Struthio camelus: one gene and its partners. The protein of the gene in region 4 interacts with the protein of the main gene of each other region in a biochemical or structural test. Links are inferred from orthologs where the notes say so. Each region holds a gene or a part of one and is shown on either strand. Other genes may lie near its edges.

The links.
Region 1: the proteins of AP1G1 (region 4) and CLINT1 form a complex in vitro, tested with the Homo sapiens proteins (2 studies listed by BioGRID). The link is inferred for Struthio camelus from reciprocal best matches to the Homo sapiens genes AP1G1 and CLINT1.
Region 2: the proteins of AP1G1 (region 4) and EPS15 form a complex in vitro, tested with the Homo sapiens proteins (2 studies listed by BioGRID). The link is inferred for Struthio camelus from reciprocal best matches to the Homo sapiens genes AP1G1 and EPS15.
Region 3: the proteins of AP1G1 (region 4) and SYNRG form a complex in vitro, tested with the Homo sapiens proteins (2 studies listed by BioGRID). The link is inferred for Struthio camelus from reciprocal best matches to the Homo sapiens genes AP1G1 and SYNRG.

The regions. Positions count from the first base shown.
Region 1 is NC_090954.1:11,009,433-11,017,231, reverse strand, and holds the start of CLINT1 (clathrin interactor 1), read right to left. Parts: upstream 3,001-7,799; 5' UTR 2,836-3,000; coding exon 2,795-2,835; intron 2,003-2,794; exon of another isoform or gene 1,756-2,002; intron 1-1,755. UniProt on the Homo sapiens protein: Binds to membranes enriched in phosphatidylinositol 4,5-bisphosphate (PtdIns(4,5)P2). May have a role in transport via clathrin-coated vesicles from the trans-Golgi network to endosomes. Stimulates clathrin assembly.
Region 2 is NC_090949.1:31,182,812-31,190,285, reverse strand, and holds the start of EPS15 (epidermal growth factor receptor substrate 15), read left to right. Parts: upstream 1-4,462; 5' UTR 4,463-4,577; coding exon 4,578-4,604; intron 4,605-7,474. UniProt on the Homo sapiens protein: Involved in cell growth regulation. May be involved in the regulation of mitogenic signals and control of cell proliferation. Involved in the internalization of ligand-inducible receptors of the receptor tyrosine kinase (RTK) type, in particular EGFR.
Region 3 is NC_090957.1:20,416,197-20,423,668, forward strand, and holds the start of SYNRG (synergin gamma), read right to left. Parts: upstream 3,016-7,472; 5' UTR 2,881-3,015; coding exon 2,720-2,880; intron 2,630-2,719; coding exon 2,589-2,629; intron 1,286-2,588; coding exon 1,167-1,285; intron 1-1,166. UniProt on the Homo sapiens protein: Plays a role in endocytosis and/or membrane trafficking at the trans-Golgi network (TGN). May act by linking the adapter protein complex AP-1 to other proteins. Component of clathrin-coated vesicles.
Region 4 is NC_090951.1:429,097-436,149, reverse strand, and holds the start of AP1G1 (AP-1 complex subunit gamma-1), read left to right. Parts: upstream 1-4,033; 5' UTR 4,034-4,274; coding exon 4,275-4,316; intron 4,317-5,236; coding exon 5,237-5,440; intron 5,441-6,364; coding exon 6,365-6,489; intron 6,490-7,053. UniProt on the Homo sapiens protein: Subunit of clathrin-associated adaptor protein complex 1 that plays a role in protein sorting in the late-Golgi/trans-Golgi network (TGN) and/or endosomes.

The DNA of each region.
Region 1 (7,799 bases), on a different chromosome or scaffold from region 4:
ATCAAGGCACTTAAAATTGAAAAGAGGGGGAGTTATATTAGCAACTACTGAACAGTGAGGTTAAAAAGAGGGAGAATAAGATAGCTCACAGTATCTTGTCACATCTTAGAACAGTCTAAATCTAATACTCTATCATGTAGTCTTTCTAAATTTCAAAAAGGGCCATGATTTTATACTACAAATAACTACATCTTACGCAGAAAAGGATGCTGACCTATACTTAGAATTTCTACAAAATGCTACAATAAAAACAATAGTGATGATTCTAGTGCAGCAGAACCAGGGAGCAGAACTGACCTATTAAACTTGATTGCTCAGCTTCTGTCAAACTGAAGAAAGCAAGAATACTAAAAGTTTCAGTAATACTAACTACAAACTTGAATTCATTTCATACTTTGCAGTTATTTCTTAAAAATTTTAGGTTCTAAAACTTTGAAGGTTTTAATAGCTCACTTCACTTACATATTTTTAAAAAATGTAGAAACACTGTTTGTTCAAATAGCCCACAAAGATTAAGTAAGTTTACTTAAGTGACTTAATCACATATTATGGCTTTCTAAACTTTTGTACACTGAAGAATCTGATAATTGTTTAATACAGGTTCGCCAACTTGACACATCTCTGATCTAATCGAGCTGTCAGCCACCTAAAAGCTCAAGTAATGGCAAATTAAAAAAAACAGAGGAGGAAGTTGAAGTTCTATGATAAGCATCAGCTGAATATAGAACCAAGATGTAGAGTTAACACCACAACCACCACCCCTCTCCCAAACCATCAAAGTTTGAAATGTAAGGCTATTCGCATTTTCCAAAACCACTATTTAATCATATTTAAGAAGGACATTCTTACTAAAGTTCAAAATGTCCCTGCCACAGCATCTGCAGTTATTCAAAAGGAGGATAACATGGCACAGCCTCTTCTATAGAGAATTTTGTATCTCGTGGCCTTAAGACAGAAGACATTATGACAGATCTGTCCCAAACACAATGGGACTATTGATTTTGATGCCTCTAAATGCTATTCACTCTTCAAGTCTTAAAAAAAAAAAAAAAAAAACACTATACAGTCCTCTTCCCTTGTATAATGTTACTCCCTGAAATCGAAGACTATTCAGAAGTATTTTTCCATCATTTGAAAAGGTATGGTTAAATATATCGCACAACTTCTTGTGCTTGGTTTAAAAATTGAAAGCCTTTTCCGATACAGGTTTTGATGTACTGTTTGACTTAATAACTTATGAAATATCTTTAAAAGTAAATATTTTAAATATAATGATAAGGCGTAGCAATATTATATCAATCATTAACACTAACCAATTAAGATTACACAAGCAAAACTTAGAGAAGCTCGATTTCCCCGAAAATGTCCTTTTAGGTCCTGGAATTCAAGATGTGCCTGGGATCAGGGTTGTCCTACTACGTATAATTTGTAACATTATTAAAACTACCATCCTACTTAAGCAAGGGTTGACTTTTCCTGTAAGAAGTTGTTAACAATAAAAAGGTAAACAACTGTCTTGGGAGGAGTTTTATTCACAGTGGTTTTTAAATGTCATCTCTGACTCTCAGCCTACAGAAGTCTCAGTAAGGTATACTGCATTATAAGCTAAAGAAATATTTACTATCACAAATAAGTTACCATTTTCTCTCCAGTTTACCATCTTTAAACTCCACATAAAATATTAGTTTAAATACTCTTTGGGGAAATCGAAGTAAAATAAAGTTCAAAATGGGACTGCACTCTTGAAAGACTCACCTTGACTTCCAAGGCTAGGCACAACTATTAGATCATGTAATCTGATCTGGTAGGTATTCATCTACAGAACTTCAGCCAGTTATTCCTCTAAGAAGTCCACAAACTCATGGAAAAGTGTTTTGAATTTGCCCCTAAAGATTATTTAAGGAGGCAAAATATAATTTTTGTTCTCCATCGTATCAAAAGTTTTCTCACATCTTAAATTAAGAAGTGGTAGAGAAACAAAACAATAATGTCATGCTCTCACAGCACAACAGGGTGTTCACGATTATTATCGCCACTGTCAAGCTTACAGTGGGAGGAGGTTCTATTCAAGGAAATAAACCTGCAAACACCTGAACTATTTAAACGTTTAAGGGCTGGAATAGAGTATTTCACTCCTCTAACACACTCCACCTCTAAGAGGCCCAAGGGCAGTGAGTCAATGGCAGTTACAGCAGGGATCAGTCCTTAGGGAGGAAGAAAAAACTCAGAGAGAGAAAACAGTGACTTTGGAAGCACTCTGAAAACTGATCGCTGTACAGGTGGTTCCCAACTCCCCTCCTTCTTTCTAGTTCAATATTCTAGTTTCTTCCTAAGGGGCCCTGTGGCCATGACAGGAGCCGATCCGGCCGATTATAAGGGCTCATGTCCCAAAATGGGCACACACCCACCGGGACCCTGGCAGGGAAGGGTGTATCCAAAAGAAGAGGCGCAGCTTTCCAAGATCTGGCAGGGCCCAGAAGAACCAGAGCGAGAGGGGAAAGCCACCAGCCATAGTGGGAAGGCCACAGACTACCTGGAGGGCAGCCCTTGGCTGTCCGAGGGGCCAAAGCCGCGCCGGGTGGCCGAGCAGGGGCCGCGCGGGGCAGTCCCCCCGGCGAGAAGGGCAGGGGACGGGGCGCAGGGGGGCGAGGAAGGGGCATCAGCCGGGCGCCGAGGGGGCGTGAGGCGGCCGCCTCGGCAGAGGAAGGCAGCGGCCATGATGCGGGGGGGGGCCCGGGCCCCGCTGAGGGGGCTCGAGCCGCCCCGGCCCCCCGCCCCGCCCCGCCGTACTCACGCCTTGTCCACCAGCTCCCGCACTTTCCACATGTTGAGCATGGCGCTGACCGCGCGGAGACCTCCTCGGCCTCGCTGCTGCCCTCCTCCTCCTCCTCCTCCTCCTCCTCCTCTGCCGCCGCCGCCGGCCCCACGAGGCCCCGCTCACCGCGCTCCGGGCAGCCGCCGCGCCAGGCCCGCTCCGGCTCGTCGCCGCCTCTGCCAACTAAGGGACACGGCACGCACCCGGAAATGGAGGGACAGCTGCCGCGCGGCCTGATGGGATATGTAGTTTCCCCGCCGGCCGGGCGGAGAGGCCGGCCTGGCCTCGCAAAGCCTTCTGGGAGCCGACCGCCAGCCGGGCGCAGAGCCCGGTGGGAAGTTTAGTCCCCAGTGAAGAGCGCGCACTCTCCGCGCAAGGCCCCCTGGGAGTCGTAGTGCTGTGGCCTTCTCCGGGGGGCGCGGCGGCCGCCCGGCCCGGCCCGGCCCGGCCCGGCTGCTCGGGCCCAGTAAACACTTTTCCAGCCTGCGGTGGGACTGAGGTTTCTGTCCTCCGCGGCTTAGGCCGCAGCAGCCGCAGTCTGATCTGACCTACCGTTGCCCTGCGGCTCTGTCTAATGCCGGGTTAGCTTCTTGACTCACCGCCAACTTAGGCACCAGAGGGAGAGAGGTCTATGCAAATGGCTGGTTAAACCACAAAACACAGGCATAAAAGTCACGTCTGACTAGCATATGGTTTTATACCCCACTTTTATTACGAGGAACTCATTTAAAATTCTGTCTTTATGACTTCTTGTTTGCTGACCATGATGTACGAACAGCCTTCCGGGGCAGTGGGTAGACTCTGTGGAGGCCTCCGCAGGCCTGGCTGCAAGGAGCAGAGATGCCCAGCAGGAAGAAGCACGAAAGGGTGAAGTGTGTTGAAGGTAGTGAGGCCCGTCTGGGCATAACACGTGCAGGAACCTTGTCTGCTGAAGAAAGATCAAGTCAATTGAGAGAAAGCCAAAGAAGACTCATATGCATTAAAGCTGCCTCAGGAGAATAGTAACTGTTTTAATGTGCTTGTCAACAAGGGTTGCAAAACCATCTTCAAATGTTGCTTGCTTATGCAGGGTATTGAATAGGAATCACAACTCCCTGGATATAATGAAAACAGTGAAGCCAAGGAAGTGATTTTATAATCAAGATCGTGAGACAGTTTCATTATACATTTAGTTTTGTTATCTGTGTATCTATCAACTTGTTTTCAACATGAATTTTGAATGACTAGTCCTGAGGAATTTTTTTCTCAGAAGAGATGAAAGTCAGTCCGCTATCTCTTTGCAAGTTACAGGGCATGAACAGAGTGCCTGGATATTATGGTTAGTCTGTATTATATTCTTAAAGTATATTTCTTGCTTGTGTGGTAGGAGAATTACACTATTACAATTACACTTGTCAGCATACTTCAGAGAGCAAATTGTACGGGAGAGTTGTAATGTAATGCCTGTGCTTCATTTTAAGAAAATTACAGAAAACATACATGAATGTGTTTCGGCTAAAGACAACATATATCTGTAAACTTCTATCTTTCATTGTAGTTGTCTTTTCAAAATAGGCACAACAGCATTTGAAAGATCAGCTGCGACTTCCCTTAGTGGTCAAATTACAATGAGTTCTTCTGAAAATTAGTTGTTCTTTGAACTAATCAGGAAAAAGTGCAAAAGCAAACACCTGATCACCTGCCCACTTTCTGACATCCTGTTATATCTTTTTACGTAGGTACCCCCATGGTTTCTATCTTCCAAACATGTAAGAGCTGGTGAGTGTGGATGGATCAATCCCCAGGTATAGCTTTCTCATTTCCAGTTTTCTGTGGCTTAGGGATTTGGTGCCGGAGTATTGGTGCTAAAGCTTTGCATTTAAGATCACTTGATGGTTTTATGGTTTTATGAATTTAACTGATTGTTTTTTGAACCCATTTATTTTTTTATCTTACACAACGTCTTGTGGCAATGAATTCTACAACATAGCTATGAGTTGTGTAAAAAAATGCTTTCTTTCATATGTTTTAAACTGTCTGCTTAACAGTATTGCTAGTTCAAGTATTACGAGAATTAGTATACAATAATTCCGTGTTGCTCGTTTTCTTGACAGTTTTGGATTTTTAGGATAGGTCTTATGATATTTGCTACTATACTGTTCTTTCCACTGTGCCTAAGACTCTTATTATACTTAGTTTTCCCTTGTGCAGAAGTTGTGCGATATATTTAACCATACCTGTTTAGTTCTACTGTATCTGTTTTCAAACTGAAGGGGAGGAACTAGCACTACATGCAGTATTCAAGATACAGGTCACCCTAATGATATTTTCTCTTTTGTTACCAATTTCCCTCATAAGCATTCTTAACACGGTTTGCCATTTTGCATGCTACTGAACACCAAGCTGGAATTTTAGTTTGCAACAGAACAATTACGGTGGCTGTTTGTGGCTGTGGTAATTTTGTGTTTAACTGAACTCAGCACCAGTTTTGCTGTGCTCACTGTCCCCTCTGCCATGTGCCTTTCCATCATGGACCAGGAATGAGGAGGTCCTTAATTTCATATTGTAACCCCTGCCAAAGCAGGCAGGGTGAGGACCCTTGCTTTTTGTTATCTGCCCTTCATTTTTTTGCAAAAAGACTGAGGACATTGGTCTTCAGGAGTAGGAGGGAAGAAGAAGAGGAATTAAGTATTGCAACTGGAGCTAGCAAAAAAGCAAAGTTTCTGATTTGCTATTGTTATTTTGAAATCTGGCTTCACTCCATATTGGATTAAAATGAAAGTTCTAAATATATTTCTGATGATCTGCAAGTTCCTCAGATTCTTCTGCGGTGCAATGAAATTGATGTTCTTGTCAGTGTTGGCTTCTTTGAGCAACTGTAGGCCAGAGTCCTGAGCGCTGGAACAGACCTGCCATAAGTTGGCAGGTCTGATGGGCTGCAAAAGGCAGTTTCCAGGGTCCAGACTCTGGCCACGCTTGGCAGGTGCACATGCCCCGGAGGCAAATCCTCCCCTTCCTCTTCCTTTCTTCCCATCATGGTTAACATTTGGAATGAAACAGTTGGAGGTCAGTGAACCCTCAGGGTTTGATTGATTTGTTTTTTACCAATCTGTGTTTCCATCAGAAAAAATTAAGACTTGCTCTAATTATACATTTCAGAATAAGAGAATGAGTAGGGAGAGAGCATTTTAGGCATAGCAAAGTAACAGCATATGCAGAAGAAAGATAAAAAATAAAACTGGAATGTAAAAGCAGTTAAGATGAAGGTGCAGGTCTTTTAAGCATTACTAGCTATGTCTGGATGCAGTAATGGGGCAAGGAGAGATGAATGGCATTTATTGTCAATTTCAGGGTATAGTAAAAAGCAAGTCTTTATGTAAGATTGAATGCAACATGACTGACAGTAATTTTGCCATCCCCATTTTGTCAGCTGCTGATAAAAGTGCATGAGCATATGTATAATTTCTGAATGATGTGAAGACAACTTTCTGGTGCATAAGTAGTTGCTTTACAGAAAGATCTGATCAGTGTAGGTAGAGGGTAATGCAGTTTCAAAGCAATGCAATATTCAGCATAACAGGTAGTAGTTGTAACATATATCATGCAGAGGAACTGTATTTTATTATAATTCGAGCCATCAGTTACAGGACAAGCTGTTAGAGAAATTGAACTAATTTGAACACTGCAATAGAGTTTGCACCTGGATATTCCAGAAGTTAATATGGGCCATTTGGTGCACAAAAAGTCTTGCACATTCCAAATGCCTGGAGAGCAATATTGTTGTCAGTCTCAACCATATTAATGCCCGGCAGAGATATATCCAAATCAGTGATTAATTTACAATTAAAAGGAAAAAAAAAAAAAGAGGAGTCAAGAGAAAACGCATTAGGATCAGGGAACAGAAGCAGTGGCAGAGATTGAGACAAACTTTTCACTTAAAGCAACATTTGTTTTCCTGAGTTCATCAAGCTCCACTTTTTACCTGCTTACAGAGCTGAAATCTGAATTTTCTAAAATATATTTGTTTTAAGAATTGGTTCATAGTGCAGAAGAAACACTGAAATAATTTTCTCCATTTGTAGACCAGTTAGTGCCCCAAGCTTTTCTAAACAATCACAGTTCTCCAAATCCCAATCTCTGTATTTCTGTAATATATGCCATACACGCAAACTTATACACGTGCACTCCTATAAATGGTCTCTAGATGGGCTGTTTTGGAAAATGTCTCCCTGCTCTGCCACAGAACATTCTGCTTCTGGTAAGTAAAAGTGGCAAAACCCTCCAGTCACTTCCATGGTCCTCAGTCTGTTTGCAGAGGTTCTACCACTCATCACCTGAGCTCATTTCACACTCCTTAGCTCAAGGAGAGCGGCTTGGGGTACAGGCAGTAGTGGGGGATGTGAATGCTCCCTATGATAAGTATATGGAGAATAAAAAGGAAAATCTGGTAGTGATGTATACTGTTCCAGCTATATCCCTCCTAACGCTGGTCTTTTCACTCCTACTCTGAAGTGGTACATCCTTTCACCAGCAGCACTTTCATGCCCAGGACGTCTCATTCATTACAGAGGAATGTTCTAGGTAGCAAACTTCTTGAAAGTTTTCTAAGAGGTGAAAATGATCCTATTTTAAGCTTCAGAGCCAAGACTGCAAAAGCATATTATGCTTGCAGAAGACTGGAAGCGCAGTACAGAGGTGGTGATTTGTCTCAGAGGCTGGGAGGGCAACTTTGCCACTCAGACAGCCAACATAGCACTAGCACTTTTTTGCAAGAAGTCCCCACAGGTATTAACCTCAATATTAACCTCAGTCTGCATTCAGCCCTAGTGCTGTTGCCTTTCCTAGCCTGAAGAAAGGAATGCTGATTCCATATTGTGGGCATGTGGATTTCACTCTGCCCATCTCCTCACAGTCATTGAAACAGTAGAACCATTTCAGCTAGATTAGGCAAACGTGGTGACTTCTCAAAGTGCATTACAAATTTATGCAACATTCTTACAGGCTT
Region 2 (7,474 bases), on a different chromosome or scaffold from region 4:
GCTGTAAAATGCATCAGTCTATCAATAAGCCTGCATCTGGCAAACTTCCAGCTGCATAAAACGTAAAGAGCACATGAAGCATATCCCGAGATGCATTACTAGTTAGACACATCTGCAGTTGTGATTCCTGAAACAGCTTGTGGTACCTAGTCCAGGGAAGTACTTTGAGATTTTTGATAAAAAATACCCTCTGTCCAAAGGGTCAAACTTTTGTACAATGATCTTCCTCATTTCTCAGAAGGGTTATTTCAATAAGCTAAGTGTGGTAAAATGCTGTATCAGGAGCACAGCTGGTCCTTGGCTTTCTGAAACCTGTGCGATGTAAGGCAATCTCTGCTCACCTGTGAGCCGGTCCCCTTGCATTTCCATCGCTTGATCACAGAATAATAATTCCTTTTATTCAGGATGTTTTGTGTTCATGCTTGTTGTTGTTGCTGTTCTGTCAAGCTCCCTATGGTTTAACCCTTCTGCTATTTAGATCCTTAATTCTGCATTTGTAATACTGGAGCTGCTAATCTGCTTTGCACTGAAATTCCCAAAAGCTGAGTAAGTCGTTTCATGACTAGGTATGCAGGAGGCAGGAGTGAGCCGTTGCTCTAATCAGCCTCTTGATTGTTCATGGGCTGTAATAATGCTTTTCCTAGAACAAGCAGGACGAGTCACACTAAATACCTAAGTGTTGTCCAGGAAAAAATAATGGGCTTCCTGTGTGCCAATCCATGATGTAAACCAAACTATAATAAAGAAAGGCACGGACACTTAAGATACTATTTCTGGGGAGACCAGTGGATCTGTTTAAAAAGTTACTAACTTTACTGAGGCCATTTGGTGAACATAAGAGATGCATAAAACACTGGGGACATTAGTGTCTGATTCTCACTTGTGCAAGGCCTTTCTACACTGTCTTGATATAGCACAGGTTTCAAATCCAAGCAAACTATTACAGCAAGTCATTTATGCAGTATCCTGCAACGGGGATTTGCGCTGATACAGTTACGCTATTGCTGTCGTAGCTGCGCTGGTGCAAGCTACATACCCCATCTTTCCTTGCTATGCCAAGAGATTGTTATTGTAAATAATAAATAGATAATAAAATCAAACCTGCTAATGGTTTTGGGTGGGTTCTAGTAGCCCTAGTGGTTCTCCTGGCAGAAAATAATCTGTTATAGGTTACTCATTTCAAAGTAGGAACCCTCTTTTTTGACCCTATGTCAGGAGATAAAATTTCTATTCCAGCCTAGAAGCAGATGGCTATCTCCTTCTGGAAGCTGTCATGCCAGATTCCTATAAATCTACAGTACAACACTTCATTGTCAGCAGGCTGACAACTGTTGTAATTAGAGGCCATGAGATGTCTGAGTCCATGGGCTAGCTGTTTTATCTCAGGTGGTTGGCGGCATCCAGGACAATACTGTCTGCTGGAGACACAGAACACCCAGCAACGACAAAGACCTATCTGAACGCACCAATCCAGTGTTGAATGAATGGGACTCATTATTTTAATAGGCAGAGACCACAAAGATTACCTCAAGTGATCCTCGCGCTCTGACTCTGGACACAGTGCCCACGTACATAATGTCCATGTGTTCTTCAAGACTGTCCATCCATCCCTTAGACGAGCCAAGCACGCTATCCGCATGGCCGGGGTGTGAAGGTTGAAGGTAACCACTTATCAATAACCACCTATCTGGCGCTGCCACGACGGTATCTGAGGCCCTACACAATGCCTGTTAGTTCCCAGCTACCACTGACTAAGCAGCAACCTCAACTCAGTCCGCTGGTGCTGACCAGGAGAGCTCAAAAGCAGTATGAGAAACGCTCTTCGGCTTGCTAGACCACTGTGCTCTTTACAGTCTGAGGGAGCAGGACTAGGGGTTGCCTCCTCTGCCAGGAACCCTGACTGCTGGTATCTCTGCCTAGCCCTGATATCAAGACTCTCAACTTTCCTTTCTCCCTGCCTTTTCCAAGCCCTTCAAACATTTTCCCTTTTCTTTATTTATCTCATTTCTCACTTCAGAACCTCTTCTCCTTGTTGCCATGAAAGTCAGCAGTTTGGCCTCCCAGGCAGTATATGCTTAAGTCTTTCATAGTAAATACCTTATTACCAAAAAAAAAAAAAAAAAACCATCAAAACTGTTTTATCTTGCAGTCACAGGAGGAGAAGTCACTTTACTCTGGGAGTTGTCTGCCACCGCCTCAGTATATACTGAAATAACGTGGCCATCCCATTCTGCTCAGAAGGGACAGGGGACATTTAGTCATATTTCAGGTGAAGCTGCCCTGCATGAAGGACTCTGTTGGCAGAGCTGAGCTTCCTTTCAATCTCCAGCCTTCCTGCACAACCTACTCTACAGTCCCTGCCAAACTTTATTCAATAGCCCGGCTGCAACTATGGGTCTAGTCATGGACTAGGTGGGAGACTCAGTACCCAGCATAAGAGAAAGGGCCGACATCTGCCGAGTCTGATAGCCTGCCCACAAAATCCTGCTCACAACAGCCCTCAACAACATCTAACTGCAGAGCCAGGTCCGGTTACTCGTTTTGCATTTTCCTTCCATTTGCAATGACATGCAGTCTGGCATAACTTTTCTTCTCCTAAGAGGCTGTGAGTCTGCTACCAGATCCCTTCTCCTCACCCAGGGAGAGGAGATGGAGAGAAGGGGAAACCAACTGGTGGAGCAAAAGGCACCCACCAGAGTTCATGGCAATTGGTAGAAAATCAACCCCTTCAAATGTCTCCTGAGGGGCTCCCTCCCAAATGCTAACAGGACCAAATATTGCTGTCCCCAGGAGACACAGCTGTGGTTTTACCATCTCCTGGTTTAATTTCCATATATTAATTATTGTGGGATAGCAATTTTCCATGTTTAATCGAAGAAGAAAAAAATCAACCTAGAAAGATAATAGCCTGTGAAATTTTACATAGGAGGAGTTGAGTGGGAGGTGGCGTGGAGGTGTGACAGTGATAAATATGTGAATGGTGTAAATGTTTTTATATCTATACTGTTGTTTGTTTTTTATATTCTTCCTCTCTCTCAGTGTCTGCTTTTTCTTGCTGAAGCTATGACTGAGAAACAGGGGAGTAAAGCAGAGGTTTTGTAAAACCTTTATGAGAGGATGGGTGCGAAGGAGGGAGCCTGCATGTTTCGTGACAGATGAGAAATAGCAGTTAGTCATGACTGCCAGCTGAGGAAAGGCAGGATGCAGAGGTGGGGCACGAGCACTAGGATAAGCATGAAACTGAACTGAAGAGGGAAAAACGCAGAACAGTAGAGAATTAAGAAGAAAGAAAAAACACATATTGTGAAACCTTTCCAATAAACAAGTATGATTCCTGTTTATTTCCTTTTATCAGCCTGAATGTGTATTTCAAGTTTAAATTGATGCCTGATCCATCTTTGCCTAAGTTAAAAAAAAAAGGGGGGAAATGTTTTCCCTCCACCCTCACGGAGTGAGCTATGACTTGGTAGAGCAAAGAGATCAGAAAAGTAGTTCAAACAGGCAGCGTGCGGCCGTGAGCAGGTACCGCAAAAGTAGCCCGTGCTCTCTTGTTCCCTGGCTCTGTTGTGGCAAGGGGAGATTTACTTGGGGGGAGCTGAGCGCCACGAGGGAGAAAAATAGAAAAAAAATAAATCATGATAAAAGCAGGAAAATAAAAGCGGTGACATGCATATCCCTTTCTGCCATTTTGTACACAGTTGTTTCCCACGGGTTAGGAGAACGCAGGGCAGTTTGCTTTCCACTCCAGCTCGCTCCTCCTTTTCCTTCTGCCTGCATTTTCTCCCCATTTCCTAAGGGTTGTTTGCCCCCTTTTCTGCTTTTCTGTCCTCCATCTAGCCCACTATTCCCTTTATGCTCCACCGAACGCAAACCTTCTCACAGAGAGACGGATATACATGAGCAGCAGTCACCTAAGCGGGTATAGCATCCATATACTCATTTCCTGTGAGCGGAGAGGTCGGGGAGAGGCAACAGGCCCAAATCCAGGCTGACCTTCATTGTTGATGAGCCAGGAAAGGACATGTCAGCTCAGCACGTCCTGTTGGACTCGCGTGCCGTTTCCTCCTGGGCTGTGCTCCCCATCCTGCTGCAATCCCAGACCTGATGCAGCTCCTGCTTGGGACTTCCCCCATCTGTGGGGTCCTGAACCAGAGCCTCGTAACAGTTCAAAGTGCTTGAAGCCCCTGCTGCTAAATATACGGGGCAGAAACAGGGCCAAGAGGGAAGGTAAAAGAAAGGCTAGGAACTGGGAACTGATGGAGACTTCACTGCAGGATATTTACCACTATAAGGCAGGTCCGATCCGAATCAGGCCACAGCTCCGGCTCCGGGTTTTTGTTGCAGCTGCCTAGAGCAGGCTCCGGCTCCGGCGAGTAGGGCCCGGCGCCCGGTTTTGCTCTCGGCTCCGGCTGCCGTGTGCGGGCGGAGGGAGGTTCCGGCTCCGGCCGGTCGGCGGGCGGGAATCCAGTGCCGGGTTTTGGCCGGGGCCAGCTGGGGAAGTTGCCGAAGTTGGGCCGTGAGTGCGGCGGCTGCGGCGCGTCCTTCCTGCTGCCCGGCCGGTGCATGATGGAAGCAGCATGGCCGCCCACCTCTCCCTGACACAGGTACCTCCCGCCGGCTTCCGCGTCGCCACCGCGCTCCCCGCTCTTCCCTGCCGCTCGTCTTCCCGCTGCCGGCGGGCTCCGAGGCCTGCAGCGTGACTGGGGGTGGGGAAGGAGACAGGACGGGACCGGAGCGGGGCCTGGGGCTGACCCCGGCCCCGTCGCGCCGTGGTGGGTGGCGAGGCCGCCTCACGCCGCCCCTCAGCGCTGCCCGGCCGCGCTAACGGCCGCCGGCGCTGTCAGGTGGCGGCGGGGGGAGGGGCGCGTGGCTGAGGCGGGCGGGCGCCGCTGAGCCCGGGAGGCTCCGAGGAGCAGCGCGGAGGGGGCGCCGCAAGCGGGAAACGAGATCCCGGCCGGCTGCGGGTGCCTTTGCCCCGGCAGCGGGGGGATAAACCTGCCGCGCCGGAGCCTCCCCCTCGGCGGGCAGCGCGGCCCTTGGGGCGGGCAGCGCCGCCGCCGCAGCCCGCGGAGCTCCGCGCTGCGCCTGCTGTCATCGCAGCTCGTCTTTTGTCTGGTAGGAAGGCGAAGGCGCCTGGCATTTAAAAAAAAAAAAAAAAAGGGCAGAAAACCGCCCTGTAGGTTTTGAAGGCAGGTGGTAAACTCGGAGGCGAAGGAAGTGCTCGCTGAGGGCTTGAGCAGGGTAGTTCTGGGTTTGGTAACTGTGCCCTGGTGTCTGTGCATGGACCCGCTAGTCCAGCTTCTGTCTTCGGTAGTGTGCTTGAGATATTTAAGTGACCGTATAGGAACGGAAAAGATTTTTGTAGCTTTTTGGAGGTAGTAGCATCTGCATATTAGTGGACAGGCAAGGAGATGAGCTTGGAAGAGAGGGCTTCATCTCTTGTCTTAGCAGTAACCTAACTCCAAAGGTACCATTATTCAGAAGGAACAGCTTGGAAGTCGTTCCCCCCCCCCCTTTTTTTTTTTTTAATTTGCTGCACTGCATGGTGTAGGGATGCCTTTTTGCATACTAGCTGTACAGATGCCTAATGGCAAAGGACTTAGATCGTGGTCTTAAAACTTGGAGAAGGTTAGTACCATTCAGTGTTCAGGTCAACTCACTTTGACTAAGTCTTATTGCTTGTATTTTTTTTTTCCTGGTGATACTATTCCTGATGATATTGCTTCATACAAGCGGTGCTATGCTGTCAGAAATATCTCTTATTCCTTAGAGCTCTGATAGCAATAAGCTGTGCAGTTTTGGTACTTCTTTGTTTCGTTTATCAGTAACATGAGAAACTTGCATTCCTCCATGACATAAGTCTGAGGAAGGCCTGTCAGTGCCCCCACTCTTTTCATGCCTCAGTCTGCTAGTCAGTTACCTCCTTTATATAAAAATAAGGACTAGTAAATAAATTTGATTAATATTTAAGCACATATAAGTAAAATAAAAAGTTGGTAGTAAGACTGCTCGTTTTGTAGTTATTCCTACGTGTAGCTGACTGTTGAGGAAACCCTCAGCTGTTCCATGGAAACGCGGGACAGTGCGGTGAAAATCAGAAGCTCACCTATGTTGAGGAACTAAAAATGTTTTTAAAGGTCTAAAGAAATACAGTTATAAAGTATAGCACACTGTGAAAGCTTGCTTTGGTGTTCCAAAGTGTGAGGTTGGCCTTTTCTGTTTCTCTTTTTTCGAAAGTTTTCTAGCAAAAGGGAAAAAAAAAAAACTTCTTACTGAAGAGGAAAAAAAGCCTTCTTAAACCAGTAACCTTAATTCAATATGTTTGAAGGCATGGAGTATTCTGGCTCTTTTGGGGGGGACGGGAGAAATATCTGCTACAGCACATTATGCAGTAAGACATTATTGCTTACAAGCTTTTTTTGATCACATGGGGGAAAAAAAAAACTGTGAACAGAAATGTGATAATGTTGACAGAAGCAGAAGAATCACCAGTGTCCTTAAAACTGTCATTACTACAAGTTAAGCTATTAGTTAAACTAAGAAAGTTATTTCTGTTGTTATTGAACATTTCTATTTTTTGGCATTGAAAAGTAGCTTTGGGTTTATTTGATTTTTCTCAGATGAGTGTTTCTTCATTGTGGGTTTTAATTTCTGGAATTTTGGTGTTATGAGAAAATAGTAACAAATCATAAGTGTCTGAGTCAGTTTAGATACAGTGAGAGAGGTGAAAATGGTAATAATTGTGCTTGGGAGAGTGGATAAGATTACTAGCTGCAGTTAGATCAATAACAGGGACCAGCCAGAAAAAGTAGGCAGATTGTTACATTCTGCTGTGGACCATGTGCAGGGAATAAGAGGCATATTTGGCTGTAGTCAAGTCAAAATTGTCTCATTTTTTTTTCCTTTTCCTTTGTTTGGTTTTGACTGTAATTTAACACAACTAGGAAGTAGAGTGTTTCCAAAATGAGACGAGGGTATTTTCAGATGGTTTTGCAGCTGCAGTATCTGAGAGGGCTAGACATCCTTTATTTGAATATTGTAGCGCTGTTTAAGTTACATGAAACTTTTTAGTGCTAGATGGTAGATTGCATTTTGTTGGCTGATAAGCACAAATATTTCAGGACTGTGTAATTGTAATGGAGTATGTTACAGTGAGTATGCTTGAAACGTGTTGCAAAATGAAAGTGATTATTCCCCCCCACTCCCATTTAGTAATAATCTGAAGTGTCTTGTTCTCTCCACCTTGAGCCTATTCTGCAACATCTTGTTGCCACTTGCATTTGTTCAGTAAGTATTACAGTCTGGGTATAACTGTGAATTGAATATGAAACTTCTAAGAAAACTTCTACCAAGGAAATGTTTTGTTGTGGTTGCCTTTAGTTGGGAAGCAAGCTAGCAGAATCAATGAGAAGGAACTGTTTATATCTGGAATATTGTGTCATTTGTTGTTGGAAAACTCAAATTAAGCTATAGC
Region 3 (7,472 bases), on a different chromosome or scaffold from region 4:
AAATGCCGTCCAGGAGGTACACTCTCCTAACCAACAACGGATGCTATCAAAACTTGGTCTAGTCATTTTGCAAGCATAGATTATCTAGGTGTCCAAGGGAGGGAGATAGTATAAGACAGAAGAAAAGAAGACACTTGCCTGTATAAAGTGCATCTGTACTAGAAAGGTTTGCTGATATATATGTAGCAATTAGCAATAGAAGAGTTAAAGACAGGAAATTGATTTAAGCAAGAAAAAAATGATAACAAAACATAGGAAACAGGATAAATGTGAAAACTGATCAAGTGAAAAAAATATAGCACATTAAGAGATTCCTTGCTCCTCGGAACAAGGGATTTTTCTTTTAAGTTTATGAATTGCCACCTACATTTACAAAACATAGTTCTATTACTGCCAGCATAGGCATTACAAAGGGATAAAACAAAATGCAGTGAATTGGTCATGACCAATCAGATTGTATACATAGTTAACTTCTTACCAGCTTATAAAGGTCTCATTTAAAATACTACACAATATACCACCTTAAGAGCAGGAATGTAATTAATATAAAAGCAAAGCAAAAAAAAAAAAAGAGAAAGCATGAAGCAGAAGTAAAAAGACAGAGGAGTATGTTGTGGGAGTTTTGAATTACAATAGCTAATTAACAGTTCAATACTATTACTAACCATACTTTGGAGTAGGTGGCATCTGATAGCTTTTCAGCATCTTACTAATATTTTTGCTTCTGTTGCTGCTGAGGGACCACCCTTCTGTTACCAGCCTTTGATGCAATAACACATATAAGAAATGAAAGGTCAGGACCTATTATCTTTGAGCAGACTGTAACATCGAAGTTGCTTTTAATGTTACTGATATTGTCCTTGCACTACACCCTCATTTCTCTCTTTCTACAACAGTAAGTAATGTATGCCAAACTCCCACATTCTCTCTACTCAGATCCCAATGAAGCTTAGAGAATTCTTTAAATATCAGAAATATACTCAAAGAGAGTACTACAAAATATGATGCCCTGCTTCAGTTTATACCCACTAATATCCCTGCTTCAGTTTCAAGCCAGGTTCTCCCTTGTTACCCCACTGCCGTTGAGAGGGCTACAGGACCGGCTGTCACCTTTCAAACGAACATCAAAGCAGCCATTTCAATCCATATAAACAAGTGTCACACACCTGCATGGTCATGGGTCCCGGAGGCATCTGAGAACCGTAATTCATGCCCATCATGCCCGGCATATTGGACTGCATGACAGAAACCATCGGAAATCCTTGCTGTTGCATAGGAATCATCCCTACAACAAAACATTAAACGAGGTAAGCTCCCCGACAGTGCTACAGTTTGCTTTTTTGATTTTGTTTTTTCAATTAAACCCATACAGCAAAGGAAGGGAAAAACCTCCCAGTCTTGCTGGACTGTTTCATAAATAAAAAACATACAACACTGCAGGCAGGCAGAGAATTTCCTTAGGTTAGGTGTTGGCCAGTCTAATGGAAGAAATATTATGGGGTTTCCCCAATAACTAAGCTGATGAATCCCTCCACCATCCTGCAGATTCTCTGTGGGTTTCTTCACATCTTATTTCAGAAGGGTCATTTCCAACCGTAACGAGATTTAATTGACCAGGTTGACAGGCATTGATAATTCCCCATTTCTCTTGAAAGGGGAACTTATAAATTAGTATCTTTTGATACAGGAGATAAACTCATATCGTTTTCACAATGAAACTTTCACATTCTAAGCTGGCTGAGTAGATTAGTTAGACCACTACCTAAAAGATTTATCAGTAAAAGCTAAACTTTAACAGAATTGGACAAATCAAGCTGGAACGTATTAATTCACTGAATAAAGCCAAATGGATTATGTTTCAGTATTTTCTCATCTCACATTTTTGCTATCTTGGAGGACACATACTAATAGAAAATACACGCGTTACCAGTATTCTGAGATAACTGTAACTGTGCATAACTTAATATCATAGGTTAAAGCACTCCAGGAGTGACATGACACACGCAGGATCCACAAATCAGTCCCTGAGAAATGGTGTTTTTTCAGAAAATTCTCTCCTCCCCCTACAAGTTCTCTCCGCATTTTCCATTAATTAAACAAACAGCACTGAAACAGGAATGAGAACAAAGGCAATTTAAGGCTGAGGCTCTCCTATTGTATTAATACTTTCCACATAGGTTGCGCCTCTTATCCCAGGGTCTTGCTGTGCTTTGTAAATATTTACCAGGTCTTGCAACACCCACACAACATGGGCATACAGAGCTGGTAGATGAAGCATAAAGAGGTTAAATACTACGTTCAAAATAACAAAAAAATCTTACAGGCAAATTCAGGTTCAAAATGGAGTTCTAACTCCTAGATCTTTAATCTAGCATTCTGGTAATAGCGCTTCTTCAACGTTAAATATAATAAGTTTTACAAATAATGTTGCAAGATTCAGCTTACAGGTACTGGATCGAAGCGGAAAAACAGCTGAGTTCACTTAATAGTCACATTTCTGAGCATCAGCACAGAACAGAAATTACTTTGTATAATGTATCTAAACAAAGGAAAGAACTTAGTGCTCAGAACCTGAAATTCATACATACCTTGAGGAGGGCCTAAACCGCCTGCTACAGGAAACATGAAGCTGGGGAGGGAAGGGGAGGAGAGAAGGTATGTAAGAATCAGTAATTTTAATGCAACTTCTCTACATAAATGACTGCAAAAGCTGACTTACACGTCAACACCACCACCAAACTCTCCTATCTTCTGGTCAGCATATTCATCTGCAACTGCAGATTTCACAGAACAGGACATGCCTACATTATGGAAAATGCCATCCCTCCCAGGGATCCTCAGTGGAGATCCTTCAAAATGACGGAAGAGTTGCACTGACATTGTCAATATTGTCGCAGGCAGCAAAACTAAGGAGAAATAGATCTCACCTGCTGTAATACTACTAAAATGATTTTAACTCATCCATATTACCCTTCAAAGAGTTTTCAGCACCTTTACAAACATGGGCTAGGCCTTCAAGAACTGCAGAATGAATAAGCATCTCCTGCTGGAGGTATCTGATTCAGCTAGATCATTAACTGCATCAGAAAATAGTTCTCAGCTGCTTAGGAACAGTTTTTCTGTAGAGAAATAAATTATCCAACAGTAACTAACAGTAAGTATCATAAAATAATGTCTTTTGTATTTTCTCAATTACATCTAATTAGAAGAAAGGTAGTGGAAAATGGAAAAAAACATTCATACAAGTATCAAGGACTAAGCACACTTGAAGGAAGAACTTAAAAATTCAGCTGAAATTATAATGGCAATTACTAGCCCTCACTTTGAAATGAAAGCATGTGCTGTGCTGCCAAACAGGAAAAAAGACCTAGTTTAGAGGTCTCATTTGCAAGCAACTCTCAGAAACATATGTCAGCAGTAATTTACCAAATGAGAACTTCATTCAATGTCCCAGCCAGCTATTACATCAAAATACTATGCAAAGAAATATATTTATAGCTATTCAATAACCCTCAGCACAAGGGTGGATTTAAAAGAAACTACCTAAAGAGCAAAAGAGAAATGCTATCGTAAATGACTGCAGATAGTTTTAACAAACCTTCAGTAAACTCAGAAAGACATCCTGATTTATAAACGTAAGAGTTGTGCAATAAGAGTACCAAGATAAAATAAGGAATTCGGCTTGTAGATAAACACACAATTTAATTGCAGCTACCTGTACTATAGACAGCAGGTTACATGGTCACCAAGACAATTTACATTACTCTTCATTTCATCCTCTAACTTGGAATCTTTTTAATGCCTTGGCTTTTTCTTTTGCCCTAACCACCAGGATACACATTAATTTCCCCTTCCATAACTAATACACGCTTCTGTGTTCCAACAGGCTCAGATCTTATCATTCTTAATCACCACAATTTTCAGTTTCTATATTTGAAACACTGGGTAGGTGCACCCTATCTGACCTCAAAACAACCGCTGGGACTATCTAGTCTGTTTGAACTGAATCCCATCCAAACTGTGACCAAAAAATATTCAGTTGATGGGTCTTCAGTTTGGTTGTTTTAATCCACTTCTTAGCATACAAGTATTAATATCATGAAGACAAATAGCTGACTTGAAAAATCTTAGATGGACCCATGACCGATCGCCCATCTCAGTCAGAAAGGTGGTTTTGTCCACTCAAGGACCGAAGTCCAGCCAGCTCACTGGATTCTGCCTGCATTGGATTTCACCTATGGAAATAGTTCTTCTGTCACCTGTCAGTAAAGAGTGCCACCTTGGTAACACATCCTCTTAAAACGCGTGTAATTTCAGATGTATGGGAGTTTTTGCCACAGGTCAGACCCACAAGTGCAACAATTTTAGGTATCATAAAAAACACACATTTGTTTCTTGAGAATTACAAAACAGTAAAAGTTAAATTTTAAAAGCTCACAAGTATCAAAGGGTATTCTCAGTTTCATGTTTTCCCTTCTCCATGGGGAATCTGGTCATAGAAACAAGAATTCTTCCGAATTAGCAAACGTAATGTCATCTAAACAAGCGCTGCAAGGTACCATTGCTTGTTGGAAAGCAAATAAAGGCCAGACTATTAAATATTTATCCCTTTCTACAGAACTCCTGATTTATTTATAAGTCTTTGATGAAAAAAAAAAAACCAAAAATGGCAGCTAATTAGAGGAGACTGAAAGAAGAACTAGTTAAACAAAAGCAGCAAAGCAAGCTTCTTTAACACAGTATTGTGTGCGTGCAGCTAGGATCCATCACAGACCTCACCCCAAGATTTAGCTATGCATTTGCCTCGATTAGCTACAAAAGCACATATATAATTCCCCATGAGTTGCTTTATTCAAGCAACATAAGCTTTATTTCTACACTACTTTTCAGAGATTAAAAAAAGAAATGGTATATCTACACACGTCAAGTTAGAGCAACTGATTTTCATCACTGAAAAAAAGTTGTCATAGTAAGTTCTTAGATAAAATTGAAGCACTATAGAAAATTACCGAACTTGAATTACTATATATTGATAGGATCACTATCTTAAGTAACTTTCTTTTAAAGGAGACTTTTTAATTCCAGGTATCTCAAAATAATACTGACAAGAGAATTACACAATAAGCAGAGACTTTGGGAAAAGAGAAAATACACCTGTGGACATTTCTGTTTTTCTCAACAGCAGAAGCGCTTGACCACCTAGGTTCACGCAACCAGCTGTAATGCTTTGGGTAACACAGTAAAAAAAATGTAATTGTGCAGTGTTTACCATAAGGAAAACAAAGTAACCTGGTTAGAGTAGAACTCTCAAAGTAGTAATATAAATCTGCAAATTTCTATCAGATAAGTATCTTAGATACGGAGCTTCAAAAAAGTCAGCTTCATTCAGAAAAGCAAGAGTGCGGGGAGAAGCAGCTCCTTTTCTGCATTCCTATTTTATTGCAAAAGCTCTGAACTACACATAACATTTTCCCATCTGCAACTGGATGTTTAAATCTCCTAATTCCTTGTGAGAACAATTCTATCAACACAATACAGACTAAGTCAGAGTATTTTTCAATGTCAAATTTCTACCCAGAAGTCCACAATAATGAAAGTGAAACGAAGCAAAGCAAAGCAAAGCAAAACACAACACACACACACACACAGAAAGAAGCTTTTCCCCTACTTCCAGTCTTCAAACTCAAAAAACCCACAACATTAACAATGAGAAGCAAGGATTTTAAAATCCTTTTATTTTTCAAAATCTAGAGTTTATTGACAGTTTTTGTTACTTGTTTTAATCACATATGCTTGCTAAGTAGATAGTGTTGCTCCAAGAGAAGGATGGTTTATCCAGCAGCTTGAAAGAACTGTTTCAGATTTATATATCTATGGTGAAATACAAAGATAGCCTCCTATCCCTTCCAAAACATGCATATGCACAAGTATATACTTGAGCTTTTCTCTTCCCAAATGCTTTGCAAACTCTATTCCCAGAGCACCTATGATGCCTACTAATAAATGCAGAGCAGCAACCTGGCTAAAGACAGCTAAAGAAAAGCTCCCTACACACATGCACGCACGTTTCCAGCAAAGGTCGCCACAGCACAGACCTTCCCTCGCTGAATTTACGCTAACACAGACAAAACGGTACGTTCTGGGTATCCAAGAGGAGTCAACGAATTTAAATTCCTGTTGCCAAAGCACAATTTACCCAACTCTGTCCTTCCGTAAAAGTAGGACAGTAGATAAACAGCACAGAAGAGCCCAGGTTAAAATACATATATATAACTAAATCTTCAGTTACAAAGGCCACAAAATACAAAGCTTCTTATCCTTCACAAGTCACAGTGACTTGTTAACACGTCTCATTTCCCAGCGTGTCTTTCTCCCGACACCATTCCTCAATCCCCGACTTTCCCTAAAGTGCCCTTTGCGGGAAGGAGGAGGGAAGGGGCCGTTGCCAGGACAGCTGCGCGGGGGCAGACCCCCATCCCGCAGCAGCCGCAGCCCCCCGCGCCCACGAGCGACGGTTACCGCTGCCAAAGCCTCCGGCCTCCAAAGAGCGCTCGCGAGCCACGCAAACCCCTTTCTGCCCCAATTATCGAGGCAGCAGCTGCGGAGCTGGAATAGCCAAGCGGGTCACCACTGCCGCAGTTTGGGAACCACTGCCTGAACCCAAGGGGTGGGGGGGCAGGGGAGGATACGGCGGGATACTGAAAAAGTGAGCAAATCGCAGCAAAACGCAGAGCCACCCCAGCCCTGACGTGGCCTCTGGGGCGCACCCCGGCCTGGGGCCTCGTGTCTGCCCCTGCGCCCCCTCCTCACCCCCCCTACCCCAAACCTCTGCCCCACGGCCTCTCTGCGCCCCCTCCTCACCCCCCCTACCCCAAACCTCTGCCCCATGGCCTCTCTGCACCCCCTCCTCACCCCCCCTACCCCAAACCTCTGCCCCACGGCCTCTCTGCGCCCCCTCCTCACCCCCCTTACCCCAAACCTCTGTGCCACGGCCTCTCTGCGCCCCCTCCTCACCCCCCTTACCCCAAACCTCTGTGCCACGGCCTCTCTGCGCCCCCTCCTCACCCCCCTTACCCCAAACCTCTGTGCCACGGCCTCTCTGCGCCCCCTCCTCACCCCCCTTACCCCAAACCTCTGCCCCACACCCCCCCACCGCCCCATGGCCTCTCTGTACCCCCTCACCTCACCCCCCTTACCCCAAACCTCTGCCCCACGGCCTCCCTGTGCCCCCTTACCCCACACCTCTGCCCCACGGCCTCCCTCTGCCCCCCTCACCCCACATCTCCCTCCGCCCCCTCGCTCAGGCCGCCATTTCCCCTCACCTGCCCCCTCCTCACCCCCACTCGTGTCCTCCCCCCACGCCCGTGCCCCCCCAGCCCTCACCCACACCGCCCACTCGCGTCTCCCCTCCCCACACCCCCCGCCCGCGGCCCCACTCCCCCCCACGTCACGCCGCCACCGCCGCCGCCTTT
Region 4 (7,053 bases):
TGTTGGAAAATAAGCAATAGTTTTGTCTTTTGCACTTTATGATGTCCTCCTTCAGAGCAGTTCCTAATTGTCCTGCTTTTATCAGACAAGAAGTGTGCAAGAGAGAGATGATTGCTCCTAGGAGGTAGTTCAGGTTGAACTGTCTGTACTAACTGCCTGTTAGCATATTACACAATTAAATGTAAAGTAGAGGTAGCCTCATAATGTAGTTATCATTTCATCAGCAGTATTTATTTATTCTTGAATTGCTTGCTTTCCTAAATGCTAGCTTCTGCTAACTTTCCTGTGGTTGTGATGTGAGGAGGAGAAATAATCTTTACAATGTGATTTGCTAATTGTTTGTTTTATGCAAGAGCATTTGTAAGTATAGGTTATGCATTTCTGTTCAGTTCAGTGAAATGGATTTCACCTTGGGGTGAAATCGTATTAGATCTCCAGCGTTTGCTTTCGTTTTACCTCTCCTGTCAGTGAGGTAGGAAGTCTTGCCTAAATGTCTGTGAAGGAAGAAGAATTAATATTCATAAAAAGCTGTGCTTAGAATATATGGTAACTTTGTTCAGTGCTGTTTCCCCTTGACTAAAGGGCAGTTTGTCCTTTTACTTTGTGTTGTCTAGGGCCAAGCTTAATTTAAAATGCTTAAGTCCTCTATGGGCGCATACCTACAGAATGAGTTTCAGGCATGTGGCCAGGAAAGCTATGCTGTTGTACAAGTCTCAGGCTGACGGTATCAGCGTTCAGCAGTTTATAATCTCTTCGAATACAGAATGGGAGCTAAAAGGATTTCTGATTTTAAAACAACTCCTTGCCAAACTTCAGTCTATTTGCAAACTATGCGTTAGAACTTTTCAAAAAGTTTGCAAAGAATTCTTTCCTTTAAAAAAAAAAAAAAAGTTTCAACTTGTAATAGCCCCTATCTAACTTTTCAGGAACATTAAAGATTTAGATCAACTTAACTAGACTGCAGAACCATAGCCTAAGTGTGGTTTACTGCCGGAGGGAGAACTTCACCCCAAATCTCCCAAAGCTGTAGTTTCTTGATGCCGCCTTTGTGTCGGCGCTAGCCAAACCGATCTGTCTGAAAACTGCTCTTTTTGGGAGGAAAGCGGCAAGCTGGTTTCCAGGTGGACAGGTTGCCTGAGCTGATACTCTGTGTCTCAGGAACGTGAATGTCAGTACAATGGGGGACAGAGTGAGACCACCTCTTTCAGCATTAGCCTGCACATAGGTCACCTTAGTGATTTTGAGACTGTTGCCTCAGACTGCAAAGGATTATTCTGGCAGTGGAGTGTTCTTACTTTGTTGTGGTTTAATTATTTTTTCCAAATTTTTCAGCAAGTGTTTGGGTGGACAAAACTGGTGGAGAAATGCATGGTGTGTACGTGTGAGGGCAGTCTGAACTTAATTATGAGCTCTGAGCTGGCCGTTGCCATCCAGGAATGAGATTTTGGATTTATGAAAGACTGTTCTATGAAAAACACAAGCCGAGCGCTTTGTAGCAATCGGAACCCCAAACTGATTGTTAGGAATGAATAGGAAGTAATGGGGGGAAAAGTAGAAGACGTTTATAGGACGTATAAAAACAATGGCGCCTCCATCTTTTAAATCCTGTCTGTAGTTTTACTTTCCCCCTTTCTTCCTCCCACCCCTTCAGAAAGGTCATAGGAGAACTGTAGGATGCACAGATAATGTAACAAAGATAACCTGGAGTCATGGACTGGAGAGAGTGAGCGGGAGACAAAAATGGAAAATACAAGATCATGAGTTTCACATAAAAGCTACATGGGGAATGACTGTTATTGTCTCTCCTAACAGAAGAATTGGAAGCATCAACAGAACCAAGCAGTTGGGAAAATACAGAGCAAGTGAAGGAGGTGGTTCTCCACAGTGTGCAATCAAGCTGGAACTCTGTTCTGCAGGATGTTGTTGATGCTAGAAGTTTACCTGGGTTCCAAACAGAACGAGGCAAATCTGGTGAAGATTTGATGCAATGTCTGGCTTTGGAAGTTCTTGAGCCACAAAATGTTGGAGACTGCAAGAGTATTCTGGGGAAGTGTTGCTAAGTGCTTGCCCTTGTTCTTATACTCTTCCCTAGGCTTCTGCTATTGGCCATTGTTGCAGACAGGATACTGAACAGGATGGAGCTTTGGTCTGACCTGGTATGGCCGTTATGTTTCTTTTGCTTTCTGCCACCTTTGGCTGTGCATTCAGTAAACACAGAGATATAGTTCCTTCTTAAGTTAGAAAATACTAGAGACGTTTCTAGTGAAGGGTGCCTAGAACATGTTCTTCATGTAAATTAGTAGAATGAGTTGACAGAAATGAGGGTTCAACTTGAATTAAGAATAGCTTTTGTAGGAGATTCATAAGACCAGATTTTATTTGTTTATTTATTTATAGCCTAGGTTCAACCACTTCTGATGTGATCATTTTAAAACAAACTTAAACTGGTGATGTTACAAGGATGCACAGAACTTGGGGGACTGTATCCTATCTTACTTCAGAATAGCCTCCCAGGTAGATAAACCCTGTGCCTTAAGTTTTATTCAGAGTTTCAGCTCTGAAGGCTCGCTCTAAGGATAGGCCTAGGCAGGCAAGTTACTGAGGAATGTGCTAGGGCGTAGTTGACAGCAGGTTAACGACTCTCCAGTAACAGCATACACTCTACTCTCTCTATCTCTTTTCACTAGGAATAAATTACCACAGAGTAAAGCAACACAACCAGGCAGCAACTGTGAAGCAAACATTGCACACTAAACCGACGCTCTAGCTTTCTCTGCAGTAATTAACTTTTACACAGTTACCTTAATTTTACATGCTGTTTAAAACCATGCTTTCATTTTTTTTAAGTTATTTTCAGATTTTTTTTTTAATATCTCTGCTAGTCTGAAATTTCTCAAGTAAGGCATTTGTCAGAGGCTTGTTGCAGGATTTTAGATAAGTCTATTTTGTCCTTTCAGGGTAGGAAAAGTATTTTATTATGGGTAGGTGAGAGGATATAGGGGGAGGGGGGAACCGATAGAATTAAACTGCCTTTTATTTGAAAAGCTTTGGAACCTTCATGGTTCTGGCTGAACCTATGCAAGTGGTAGGGGTTGTCCTTTTGTTTTGAGGATATATTGTGTTGTTTCTGTGAAAATCTTGTTCCAGTTTGGCCAAACAACGTTTGAAAAGTTGGTTTGTGCATGCTCCTTTGAGACTTGCACTTTAGAAGCTACAGCCTCCAGAGGCAGTGTCCAATAAACGTGTTCCAGTGCATAGCTCCCGATTCTCAGCAGGGTTTGTATGTTCGGTCTCTCGCGATCATAGAATTTTACCTTGCTGCTAGAAAGATGGTGCTCTAGGACTGTCGCTTGCAGTTGTTAGCTCAAGAGCAGAGCTCCGTGTTACCAGTCTAGGGAGTCACACCCAGCCAATGGTTTCCCCATGTACATATTGATATGATGCTGCCTGAAGAAAATCTTTCCAGTTTGCTTTCAAAAATTCAGAAATGTTGGGCAAGCATCATTGAAAGAACGTGACCGCAGCACTCAACGGCCTTTTTAATGCACGTTCAAATACTGTTCTGAAGACTGATTTCGTACTTTCCCTTGACCGTTTCTCTGATGCTCGTTAGTGCAGCATCTGAATGATTAGGAAGCACTAATTTATTTCATATCACAGTAATGTGAGGAACTGTTATTAACCTCATGTATGGAGAAGCGAGGCAAGACTAAGGACTAAAATAGCCAATAATCTTGATCCTTCACTTTGAGGCATCTTAGGGCAGAGTTTCCTTATGCTGAAAGAGCAACTCTTCATTTTCAAAATTGAATGTTTCTGCCAATTCAAGCTCTAGATATGAAGATGGGCAACTGGAATATGAGGCGCTACATAGTTTGACTGAAGTAACTTAATGTTATGTGTGAATTCTGTAGCAGATCAGGTTTATAATCCAGATCTGTAGAACAGCACTCAGCTGTTTTACTGTGAGGCCACCTTTACTCATTGTTTGTGTTTAATTTCTTTAGCAAACAAGTCCGCTACTAGCTCAGTATGCTTCTCAGCCTGCCTAGTCCCTCGTGCATTCCAATATACTGCGTCGTGTGTGCAAGTGATTCGTTGTGATACGGCAGCGCTTGAAATGTGTGAGACACTGATTTGGGAGAATGGTGACCCAGACAAAATCTGTAACAGACTGCCATGCTGAATAAGTTCTTGCAAGTTGGCAGGACATTTATGTGTCATCAGAATAGTTATCTTCAGTCTTGCATGCGTGAAAAAAGATTGTGAGGTACATGCATAGCCTGGTCTTCCTAAAAAGTCAAGAGACTGCTTTGGTGAGTATAAGAACTTGAATGCTCAACTGTTGGATATAATTCTTAAGTTTGACTTTTTTTAGAAAGCCATTTCTCTCTTGGGTATTCAAGAAAACAAATTGCTGTCTGGGTCAGACAGCTCAATCTGTGTTTCATCTGGTAAAATGAAACTGCTCAGAGTTCATGTAGGATAGACTTTCCTTTCACACAGTGCCACCAGATGATAATGTGAGGGGCTTATTTGTTTTAGAAAAGATTGTTCTGGCTGGTGTGTAATAAAGGGACAGTGTCAACTTGCCTTTTTTTTTTTCTTTCTTTCTTTCTTTTTTTAAAGAAGAGTCTCTGAAATGTATCCACACTGTCAGGATTGCTCTTGCAGTCTGCTTTTTTCTGCCTACTTTTATCCCTCTAAGAAAGAAGTGTGCATAGCACAAGGAGGCAGAATTTTTGAAGCATAGATATCAGAAACACCTCTCTGAAATTTTGTGTTCTTTATTAAGCAGCATTGATTTTTTTTCGTGAAGGATTTGCGTCCTAATTCATCAAGGTTTTGGGATCATCTCTATTTGAGCGTGACTTCTGGAGAAAGTCAGAAGATGTGAACGTGAGAACAGGCATTGCCAAGTTCCTTTCCTTCCCCTTTCAAGTGGGGAGTCATGTTATGTTCACTTGATAGCCAGCTCAGAGCATAGCAACTTCTGTCTGTAATGTTCTGTGAAAATGGAACAGCAAAGATGAGAACTTAAATTCCTGGGGTGTATAGAGAATTCCTCTGGTGTTCAAGTTTCATTTTAACCAAGCCCTGAAGCAGTCTATATTTTCTTGTTCCTTACATTTTTGTAATTGTGGGATAAGAAATAAATTTTCTTTATGCTAAAATATGAGGCAATTATGATGTCATCAGGTACAGTAGAGGGTTTACAGATCTTTCTTCCTCCCAGAGGATGCCAGCCCCTATCAGACTGCGGGAGCTGATCCGGACCATCCGGACAGCAAGAACCCAGGCAGAAGAGCGTGAGATGATCCAAAAGGAATGTGCTGCTATCCGATCATCCTTCAGAGAGGAAGATAACACGTACCGATGCAGAAATGTGGCAAAGCTGCTGTATATGCACATGCTGGGTTACCCCGCGCATTTTGGACAGGTAGGTCAGACTTTGGTGCTTGCTGTGTTATGTGCGCATGCCAGTCTGCTTTGTGTGTTTTGGGTACATTGCCTGGTTTAGAGCGTTATTAGCTGTAGTTTTGTTGTCTGCCGTTTGGGGGTCTGTCTTGACACGTTCTGAATCTGCATTAGTTTTTGACCATGTAAGTGGGATTTGCTATTTGAGATTTGTTCTTAGATAACTGTATGAGTTTCATAACAAAATATTCTGCTTTTGCCAGACTGTCTGCTCCTAACTGCCCATGTTTCTGCCGCGCCCAGTACATATGGGTATTTCTAGATGGGTTCAAAACAGCACTTCAGGGTTATGTCTCTGATGATGGAAATTGCAAGATGCTTCAGAGGAGGTTCTGTAACCACCACCTTCTACAGTAATTTGTTCTAGGCGGATAATAACTAGTCTATGCCCTGCTGTAAGACATTGCTGTTCCTTACCCCTATTTTAATGATGTGACCTGGTGAATGCTGGTTCCAGTTTTCTCAATCTCTTAGCTTATTTTTGGCACGTTATTCCTCCGGTAGACTATGGAAGAGGGAGACAGGAAAGATGAGAGTTCTTGATCTACAGAACATCTCTAAACATGTTTTTTGCTTTTGTACTCTGACTTAACTGGCATATCTGGTACATCAGAGGTCATGGAAGGTCAGCAGTGAATGTCTACTTCAAGATAAAGGAGCTGCTACTGGCTTTGCCCCGGCATTGCTACTGGCTTGCTGGGAGCTTCGGGCAGATCATTTAACCTTTGTTTGTTGTTTTTTCCCTATGACCAAAATGGGAAGAAAATATACTTTTTTTAGACACGTTCTCTGAGAGACCTAAGATGTGAACGTAAAAGTTCAAATCGCTTCTTCTTTAGTGAAGAAGTAATCTAAGCTAATTCTGTCCTTTTTATTTGTTTTCCAGTTGGAGTGCCTCAAGCTCATTGCCTCTCAGAAATTCACAGACAAGCGCATTGGGTATTTAGGTGCCATGTTGCTGCTGGATGAGCGACAGGATGTCCATCTTCTTATGACCAATTGCATCAAGAAGTAAGGGTGCCATCTCTTTCTCCATGAACACCTGTTTTGAGGTTTCAGGGTCTCAGAGTTTACTCCTGATGGTGATACTTTGAGTACTTCAGATTTTTTTCATTATGTTAGAATAATGGTATCTTCAATCTAGAAATCTACTGCTGTTGACTGTACAAGACTGTTTTAGTCTTGTGCTGCTTTGCATGATCCTATTCAGCTTCCTTAGAGGGAAGAGAATATAAAGTTGCATTGGTCCTGAATGCACATGGCAAACTACATTTGATGTAACCACTGTTTCAGAATGGTAATGTATATTTTCTGAAGGTCTGTTTAAGATGAATAAAATCAGGAAGCTGAAATAACCACAATAAGCTGCTCAGCCAGTGCAGAAAACCTCAAATTGCTGTGAAGAACTCTCTCCTAGTTCTGTAAAATAGTTACCTGCTAGCTTGCAGTAGGCAAAAGCCAGGCAAGGAATTAGTAATGCAGCATTATTGAAGATTCATCCACATTTTACATACGATTGAACTGGAAGATGTTTTTATAACACTGATAAAATGTTGTATGCTGGACATCCTATGG